Drosophila melanogaster: one gene and its partner. The protein of the gene in region 1 purifies or fractionates together with the protein of each later gene. This does not show direct contact. Each region holds a gene or a part of one and is shown in the gene's direction. Other genes may lie near its edges. The genes, in order: temp and Rab1.

What was found.
Region 2: the proteins of temp (region 1) and Rab1 purify together in Drosophila melanogaster (affinity purification with western blotting, with the first as the bait; one study listed by BioGRID). This does not show direct contact.

What each region holds. Positions count from the first base shown.
Region 1 is NC_004354.4:2,259,601-2,264,372, reverse strand, and holds temp (tempura), read left to right. Parts: upstream 1-1,857; 5' UTR 1,858-2,336; coding exon 2,337-2,422; intron 2,423-2,518; coding exon 2,519-2,907; intron 2,908-2,957; coding exon 2,958-3,679; 3' UTR 3,680-4,166; downstream 4,167-4,772. Other genes in the region: CG3071 (uncharacterized protein), read right to left, coding at 1-1,316, 1,385-1,477.
Region 2 is NT_033777.3:21,265,223-21,270,778, reverse strand, and holds Rab1 (Rab1), read left to right. Parts: upstream 1-1,718; 5' UTR 1,719-1,985; coding exon 1,986-2,008; intron 2,009-2,984; exon of another isoform or gene 2,985-3,038; coding exon 3,039-3,159; exon of another isoform or gene 3,160-3,221; coding exon 3,222-3,269; exon of another isoform or gene 3,270-3,325; coding exon 3,326-3,553; exon of another isoform or gene 3,554-3,633; coding exon 3,634-3,831; 3' UTR 3,832-4,750; downstream 4,751-5,556. Other genes in the region: Idi (Isopentenyl-diphosphate delta isomerase), read right to left, coding at 1-192, 249-563; AP-2sigma (adaptor protein complex 2, sigma subunit), read left to right, coding at 826-828, 885-1,034, 1,095-1,370.

The sequences.
Region 1 (4,772 bases):
AAGGCTTTCATCAGCTTCTGGCTGTAGGCCACCAATCGTTGCTCGAAGACATCAAGGACCGTGCTCGCGGCCATCATCAGCGGGCGCATGAATCGCACCTCGCCCAAGTGGTTGCAAATGAAGTCGATGAATCGGACAAGCGCTGCCTCATGACGACCCGTGAGGGCTTTTCCCAGTGATCCACGGTGCAGAAGGTCCGTGATGACAGCCACAATGAGCTCCGGCTGGTATTGCATCTTCTGCGCATTCATCACGTCGTCCAAAGCCTTCTTGTGGTTAAACTGGCGCAAGTGCACATCGTAGGATTTCAATCCAGGCCCCTTGACGTGGTCCTTGATGGTGTGATCAACCTCTTGGGTGTTGTTCGTGCGTTTCGTACTCACGAAGTACTTTCGAGCGCGATCCGCACGAATCTTTTTCAAATGACTGGGCTTGCTGTCTACCATCATGCGACGAATGGAGACTAGACCATCGACCATTCCAGCCACAACTGCTTGATCTCCGTCAGCAACAGCCATGCTGACCACCGCATTGGGATAAGTCAATGTGTGCACTGTTTTGTAGGTGCTCACATCGTAGATTTTCACGTGCCTATCGAGCCCGCCTGAGAGCAATCTCCTGCCATCGGATCCCAGTCGCAGACAAGTTACTGTTTTGTGATGCTGCGACATCATGGTGAGCAGACGGCAGCCGCTGATGAGATCCCATACGCGCACCTGGCTGCCGCCGGCGCTGACGAAAATAGAGCCGTTCGGAAGGAACAACATGGACTCCACCGGAGCTCCGTGATCTAAGGTGCGCTGCACCGCCGTTTCCGCTCTCGTATCGTACAGTTTGATCTTGCCATCGTAGCCGCCGGAGACGAACATATGCCCTGCCTGCGGATGCATGGCGCCTGCACGAACGTAGTCGGTGTGCGTGTCCTCGTACGTTTGCACCACCTTCTCGTTTGCCACGTCCCACAGACGGACCGACTTGTCGTCTCCAAAACTGGCTAGCTGCAGCTTGTCCGCCGTAAAGAAGGTGCGGTGTACTGGTGCCGTGTGTCCCTTGAACAAACGCAAGATGTTGCGACTGGTGGTGTCGAATAGCTTGACATGGCCCTCCTCGTCGCCGGCGGCCAGGAGTCGACCATCCTGCCGGAAGGTGGCGCCGTATGCGGTCTTTTGGAATCGGGAAAGGTTCTTTACCACAAGCATGGTCACCAGGTTGTAAATCTGAACGCGCACCGAACAGGTCACAACAAAGTTGTCAGGATCGCTTGGACTGAAGTCCAAATAATCGATGGTGTTGTGCTCCTTGAGTAGTTCTGGTTTCTGTGGAATGCAGAGGGGAAACAATGATTTGGTTGCCGAGCCTCTCTGCCTAGTCCTATACAACTCACCGCCAGTCGGTCCCAGTACACCGTATCCGGCGTTTCCACCTGGGCCCGCTGTCGAAAACGCCGTGTGTTCAGTGGAAGAAAGGAGTTCTGCATCCTGTCTGTGTATTTCTACTAAATCTCTTTCGGGCGCGCACGTGTTAGATGGGAAGAGTGTGACCAGCGGAATGTAACAGTGGTGGCAAACATTTTGGTTTTTAGCCAAATCCGCGTGCACACAAATACGGAGGTGCTCATTGAATTCAATAAATTTTCTTAAATATCTTAATCATTCTGCTATCAACTGTTTATTAAACGCATATACTTAAGAAATAATTCCGTTAATACTGAAAAAATATATGAATGTAGCAAATGTACTGATAATACTGACTGTAGAAAAAAGGAAAAAAAAATTGAAAAATTCTAATGTCCCAGCTAATGCCTGCTTTCAATAGCCATTTTCCCGACAGTTGGTTCTGACGTCGCGGTTAGTAGGTTATCGTGGCAAGTGCCTCCTCTGTTGTTGTGCACACCAAACACATGTTTGCAAACAAACATATGCTCACCGTCGCCAAAAAAAGGGAACACATTTCCGAGCTTGCGGACCGATCCGCCGGAGAACCGCGCTTTGGGGTGAACCAGATTGACAGCCCCTCGCACTGGGCACTGAAATAATAATAATAATAAAGGCTAGATCTCGTGTCCAGGCCCCGGCTTAATTGAAATTTATTTGTTGTGATGCGGCCGCCTTTGGGGGTTCCATAGTCGCGTAGACAGGGTTCCAGCCTCCGCCATCTTCTCCTCTTCCTCCCCTTTCCAAATCTTAATTAACCGGAGACATTGAGCATGTTCATATTAATTGGAGGCAATCAATGTGCCTGAGACCCTCGAATCGAACGGAACGGAAGCGAGATCCCCGAGGAAGCAAAAACCACATCCCCATTGAAATTCCACGTTCGGACTATACTCAAATTCCATGGAGGAGGAACGCAACGAGAAAAAGGTGCTCTGCGAGAAGATCATCAGGGACATCAATGCGGTGTTCCTCAAGGATCAGGATCTGTGAGTCCAGCATTTAGTTCTACTATAGATCTAATCAGACTGTTAGCAATGAAAGCAAGCCTTGATGTCCGAATATATTGTTCTTTTCTCCACCAGCGCCTCCTTTGAAATTATACCCAAAGAAGCCAACTGCAACAAATCGCCGGTTGTGCATGTGGAGCACAATCTGGGCCTGGAATCGTGGTGTGCCCAGCATGTCTACGACCACGCCCACCGCACCCTCATCTCCCATCGCCGTCAAACCACGGCGCAACAGCTGCGGACGCTGCAGCAGCAGCAGCAGAGCGACTCCCTGGCCAAATACCTAAACGTGGCTCTGCTGATTAATCCCGATGTGACCACCTTTTGGCACATCCGCCGTCAGCTGGTGCAAAAGAATCGGCTGAGCATCAACAAGGAGCTGCAGTTCTCCGCACTCGTGCTCTCAATCAAACCGAAGTCCAATGAAGCATTCGCCTACCGCCGTTGGCTGTACTCATTTCAAAGTAAGTGGACGTCGGCAACTGGGGATCCCATTTCATTCCATTATTTCCAGGTGCCGATGCTATTGACTGGCCCAATGAGATCGGGATATGCGAAAGGGCCGCCGATAGATGCGCCAGCAACTATCACGCCTGGTCGCACCGCCAGTGGATCCTTCAGAACGGCCCATGCCTGCTGCAATCGGAACTGCTACGCACGGAGAAGTTTATGCGGAAGCACATCAGTGACTACAGCTGCTACCACTACCGCCAAGTGCTCCTGAGTCGTGCATATGAGCTCAGTTTTGCCCTTCCCAAGGATTCCGGAGCCAGTGGTTCGTCTACGTTGGCCAGTCTGCAGCATCTAATGACAAGCTATGGCCTGGAATGTGAAGCCAACGCTGAGGATCTGCTGGGTCTCTTGCTACCACATGTGGATCTGAGTTCCGTGAGCAAGCAAAGGCTAATATCATTTCTTTACTGCTGCAACGTTGCCGCCAACGATATGCGTCTGTGTGCCGAGCAGCGCTTGATGTACGGATCGCGGGATTGCTTCGAGCTGCATCGCCGTGCGGCACTCAAGTTCATCGTGGAGCAGTGCGTGCGCCTGCAAATGGGCTTGCCCAATGGCCAACTGTTACCAGTGGCGTCAGGCGATCTGCGTTCGCATTTGGGCAACTTTGACTTTGAAGATAATCCGTTTTTAAGTGCCGTACGGCGCGAGGAGTCCACCCTGGGTGGTAAGCACCGGCGGTGGTGCAATCTTCACCTCAGCTTTGGATATCCAGCGGACTAGACAGCGCGACCTGATAAAGCTCAAATCAATCTACCCCAATAGAATTACTCACTCCCGGCCTTTCCGTTTGCCCATCCGTTCTGAAATGTGGCAAGTGTATAAAGACGTGTGTTTTATTTCCTATCTAATTATCGTCCCAAAAATACAGAAACTTGTGCAAGACAAATTGTTAAAGAGTAAAATACTAGAAAGGAAGACGATTCAAAACGGATTTGGAAACGGAAATGCCTCTATTCTACTCTACTATAAATGTGCGATCCAAAGACAAAGTTCAACTAGCCCGATATGACAACGGATCTCACTGGTCCGCCAATTGCATTTCGATATCTATTAGCGTTACCTGTTCGTTTCTGTTCTTAATCTGATCCGGGCACGATTTGTTAGCCCTTTGTTCAGAAGTAAAACTTAACCGATTATCGCCATGCCATGCACGTGTTTGTTGTTAGCCAATTGCAGTTAGTTTTTAAATAAATCCAAATCATAGACGACGCCTTTTTTATGCAGTTTTGAACGTCGAGCCAGTTCGGCTCGTTCATTTCGAGAATATCGATTCGGTAATGGCCGTAATGAGCACTCAAAATGCATTGTATGGGGGTTTCTTTTGCGCAGAGCAGTTGTAATATGGGATGGTATCGTTTTGTGGCGGTGCAGCCACAGCCATGACATCCCATCCCTTCCCCGAGTGAACTGGGGATTGTGGGGTAACGAGTATCGATTGCGCATGCCTGGGATGCGAGGTGGGATGTGCGAGATGCTGCCGAAGGCCTGAGATGACAACAATTTCAGCAGCGGACTCAGAATCGCCAGGCCGTAATCCCTACCAGCTTTTCAGTGTGTTTCTGGAGCAGTTCGCGTGCGGCGGTGTTTTGTGGAGTGTTGAGTGGCGAAAGTGCTGGCTTCTTTGAAGGCTTACAAACAATTTGTTTCCGACTCGTCGAAAAAAAGTGCATTCCAGTCAACCGAGAAATCAAAAGTAATAAACAAAGTATATTATTCGATTTTTTTTTTTAGTTTGCTGAACGGGGTTCCGTTTGTGGATACATGTGTACAGGCCAAGAGGATTTCAAGGGAGCATTGCATCGAGAGTGTGTGT
Region 2 (5,556 bases), on another chromosome or scaffold:
TGCGTAGTGGATGCGGGTCAGGTAGCGAAAGTCCTGTGGCTGCAGTTCCTCTGTGGGAATGCCCAGTTCGTAGTTGAGACGTCGTTGAGCGGCCACACGGATGCCCTGTGCGTTGCGCTCCTGACGTTCCTGTTCGATTTCGTAAAGCGGATGGCTGCAGCACGCGTTGGTGTAGGTGTTTGGGAAGGTTATCTAAGGATACAGAGGATTATGGACCTTGTAATAAGGGGATTACCCTTTAATTTCACCTTGTGAGACGATCGCTTCTGCACTAGCATCTCTCCCTGAGAATTGAAGAGAAAAACACTGAAGGCGCGATGGAGCTTAACATCATTCGTCTCTGGATGCACACGGTGGCAGTCTGCCTTAGAGGCGGCCCCAATGGCTTGGTCGTTGGCGTCAACCAGGATGCACTGTTCCTTTAGAGCGTGAGCCTGCAGAGGATCGTGTACGGCGAACTCCGTGGGCACCTGGCGCTGATGTTTCTGGCCCACCGCTGTCGTTGAGCAACCGCGCAGCCAGGATACGCGGGGCAACAGGAGATTCAAGCGAGAGGCCAACATTTTTGGTAAATGACTAGTTTGGAGTGGTGGCCAAAACAAATATGAAAGTGAAACTTCGTAATACAGCGCGCGGGTCTGCCAACTCGTTTGCTTTCTGCGCGAACTGTTTGCAACACTGACGAGGTAACAGCTGTTCCGGAACAGTAGTGGTAGCCCTGGTCCCAGTGATACACAATTTGCTCATAATCAGTTTTTCGCCCCCATTCTCGAAACAAAAAAAGTTGTAAATAAGCAGGAAACGGTTTAACCAATTTCCCGAAAAATGGTAAGCAACTAGCCAGCTATAAGCTTAGACCCCTATTTGACCTTCCATTCGCCCAGATACGATTCATACTTATACAAAACCGAGCTGGAAAAACTCGCCTGGCCAAGTGGTATATGAACTTCGATGACGACGAGAAGCAGAAACTGATTGAGGAGGTGCATGCCGTGGTCACAGTGCGCGATGCCAAGCACACCAACTTTGTGGAGGTGGGATCGAGTCCATATGTTCTTTTGAATCACCCTTTTATCACACTTTTGCCTTTGTAGTTCCGCAACTTCAAGATCGTCTACCGACGCTATGCGGGTCTGTACTTCTGCATCTGCGTGGACGTAAACGACAACAACCTGTGCTATCTGGAGGCCATTCACAACTTCGTGGAGGTGCTCAACGAATACTTCCATAATGTGTGCGAGCTGGATCTGGTCTTCAACTTCTACAAGGTGTACAGTGTGGTGGACGAGATGTTCCTGGCGGGCGAGATCCGGGAGACCTCGCAGACGAAGGTGCTCAAGCAGCTGCTCACGCTAAATTCGCTGGAGTAGCGGCCCAATTCATACATATGTATATCGGATCTGCCAGATGCATTCCCCCAGGCGCTACACCCGCCTATCGAATCTTCTTTCATATACTATTACGCGTATTATTATTATTATCTTTAATGTGTTCTCTATGCAAACACTCAAATGTTAAAGGCCGTGTTTAGAAACAAATGATGTACCATAAGAGATTGTATGCAAAAGTTAAGTATTTTTGTTTTTATATGGGGTGTGTTAGGGGTCATTTGGCGATAATCCATATATTTTCTTCTCTGGTTCCGCCCACTCACCTCCGTAGACAAGATAATGTGTAGCCCTGGTTGGAAGAGGGCCCCGCGCATTTTCCAACACTGCCGCTAATGCCACTTCGTCATTTTTTCAGTCGCCATTGTTCTCGTTCTCGGCCGTCGAATTTGTGGAAATAAACGTATTTCCCATTTAAATTCGCTGCAATAATTACAATAGCGAACTGCAAAACACAACACAAGCCGAGTGCGTGTCGATTTCCAGTATTTCGGAACGCGCAAATCAAATAAAAACACTCTGAACAGCAGCCAGTCCAGGGCCAGAAATCGAATATTTGTTCGTGGCAAATATATAATCTTGTGAAAAAGCCAGAAAATGTCATCTGTGAATCCGGAATAGTAAGTCGTCACACGTAATTATGCGCAGTTATCTGGAGTTAAAACAGTGACTGGGCTTCCACTTCCTTTTCTGGCCTTCGAAAATAGTTTCTTTTATTTTTTCTGCGACGTCATTTCTGCTACGTTTCATTCCCATTCATTATCGAGCAGCCCCACTCCACTCCCTTTTGCCCTCGTTGGCAACTCCAAAAAAACAGACCATTTGCTAAAAACAAAATACACACTCGGACCTAACAACCGACCCAATCGAGAAACCATAACCAAAACTGTGTGTTTCAGCTGGATTTCAATGTAGTGCCCACGGGCGAGGCGATGAAAAGCGCGTTCGAAACTCTCATCGGAATCTGCATATGTATAAAGTCCACACATATATACAGCGAGATCCCAGTTGACGGGCCAAATCGCTAGTCGGGCGGATGAGTCACCTGCGTGGAGAGCCTTTCCCACCCCCAGCGCAGTGCTACGTAATCAAAGGCCATTCCAGTGCTACTTAATTGCCGCTCTCACTCAAGGCAATTAAATCTGAACCGATCTTGGTTCGCACTCTCCAGAAAGCCTCCTTCAATAGCCAGCATACATGTGTGCAGAGGATTGGAACACTATCGCATATCATTCAGCAATTGGGGGTTGATGTTGGACATAGCATGATAAGATAAAGCCTAAACCAAACCGGTTTTATGTATATATTAGTATCTGCCCGACTAAACTATGCCCGCAAAACACCTCTCTAAATGTTTTGCTTGAATCAATGATTTCTAACTGATTGTCATCCAACTTATTTCCCTTTAAATGTATACTAAACCTTTTACACTCTGATTTTAAACATTTCGTCTTGTAATATCACTATCGCAAATATGCATCATCAGTTTTATTTAGATTTCTCTGAAGTTTTATATGTTTCAGCATAGGGTCTGAACTATTCCCACATCGCAGCACAAATTTATATCATTAACTATTAAATTAACTATAATTTATTAACTATATAACTATTTTATAACATTAACTATATTAACTATCTCCAAATCCACAGCGATTATCTCTTTAAGTTGCTGCTTATTGGAGACTCGGGCGTTGGAAAGTCCTGTCTTCTGTTGCGATTTGCCGATGACACATATACAGAAAGTTATATCAGCACAATCGGAGTGGATTTCGTAAGCCAACCGGAAATTTGTGAAAATTCTTTATGTCTGACTCATAAACCTTTATCTTGCAGAAAATCAGGACTATAGAACTCGACGGAAAGACCATTAAACTGCAAATCGTAAGCATAAAAACGCCAGAGGCAATCTAGTCCAGAGCTAATTAGTCTGTTTACAGTGGGATACTGCTGGCCAGGAGCGCTTCCGCACCATCACGTCTTCATATTATAGGGGCGCCCATGGCATCATTGTCGTATACGATTGCACGGACCAGGAGTCTTTCAACAATGTGAAGCAGTGGCTGGAGGAGATCGAGCGGTATGCCTGTGAGAATGTCAACAAGTTGCTGGTTGGCAACAAGAGCGACTTGACCACCAAGAAAGTAGTCGACCACACCACAGCTGCGGTGCGTATATTGCTGGTTTAGTCCTGGGAATCATAGATGCACGTATATACTAATCTGGGTCTTTGTTTCCAAAATTCCAGGAGTACGCCGCCCAGTTAGGCATTCCATTCCTTGAAACTTCGGCCAAGAGCGCCACCAACGTTGAGCAGGCCTTCATGACGATGGCGGCGGAGATCAAGAATCGCGTCGGGCCGCCGTCCAGCGCCACTGACAACGCTAGCAAAGTGAAAATCGATCAAGGACGTCCAGTGGAAAACACCAAATCCGGTTGCTGCTGAATAACTCTGATTGTGAATCATTATTTTATTATACAATTAAACAAAATTTAAATATAATAAATTAAAACGGAAACCACACAATAATAATAAAACAAGCGAAACCGATGGCGGATCCACGAAATCGTAATTATAATAACTAATTCTGTAATAACAATAATGGTGAGGAATGACGAGTAGTGCGTTTGTATGATCCTAACCGTGATCCAATTCGATAAACAATTTAAGCAAATATGTATTAGGTACGTAGCCAACCAGCTCCAGATCCAGATCCCGATCCAGACTTCAGACATCCCCAACTAAACTCGAGCAACAAGGACATCGATCCTAATACTAACCGTCACTCTGATTTCCGCAGTTCTGTTCATAAGTAGTGCAAAGCAAGCAAATTCGGTGTAGCAATTAACCTAATATTACTTTAACCTACAATAAGAAGTTACCTATCACAGCAGCGCGAAACCATACCGAAACTAATATGTACTATTAACTACACATTAATTGAGCGCAGGCGACGGCAGGAGCAATTGTACTTGTCCTGTGTCAGCTACTACTTACCACTATGTATACATATGTATGTGTTTAAATTACAAATACAATTTTCTAAACATATTATCTCTAGCGAACGTGATCGTCACTTGAAATTTTATGTAAATCGAACCCAAAACCGAACGAACATTTTTAGATTTAACGTCGAGCGATTGTGTGTTTGAATTATCGTGTGACACAAGGGATTTGTTTAGGCACATAATTAGTGTAATAATGACGACATAGCGATGAAGTTTAATAAAAATTATTGCGTGTGCGTATTTAAATTGCAAGGTTTGGGATCAAGGACACACTTTAGTTTCGGTTTTTACTGTCGCCCGAATTTGAATCTTAATTTGACCTGAGTCTAATAAAATCGATCTGTACCGATGCCTACAAACGACTTGTTTTATTTCTTGACTTTGGAAAGATTGCAAAACTTAAGTGAAGGCCGGAACTGATCCGCACGCACCCAAATACTTGGCAGAAACTTTAAGGGCGAGGCGATTTGTGTAGAATCTTCCTGTTTTTGGAGCAAGTTTTTGGCTGATTTAAAACTTGGATCATGCCAATGTATTTAGAATATATTCAAAGCACTCTATACGAGTGCTTAGATGTTGAAGAATCAGATGTATAAATATATTTCTATTTAAAAATGTTTTATATCTGCATTATTTCACAAATCAGATTAGTTAGTGCACTGCCGTTAAGTTAACTGCACATAGGTAATCAATTTTTGTAAACCTGATACGTTGGCAAATCTTCTAGGATACTTACGAAAAATGTATGTATCCACTTATTTTATAAATTATATACATATATTCGGAAAGATATTTTTCTTTTTAGGACATACTCTACCTTTATGTATTGCATTGTATACATACAGGACTTATTATTTTTTAAAAAGAATAATATGAAAAGGAATTTTAAATTAAATATTTCGTATCCGAGATATTCCTTCTAACATAAAATATCTCCATCTGACAACGATTGTAGCTTCCATTTGATTTGGGCAAGCTTACATTCCCTCCGACAGATTTGTAAAATTATTGAAGTACTTTGACTCTTTAGAGATTAAAATTAATCGTACATACAAAGATAATAATAGTTGCGTTATTTTTGCATATCCCAATTGGTCTCCTCCTATCTCCCATTAAATCACAATAGGTGCGATAAAAATGATCGTATGAAAAGTTCATACTC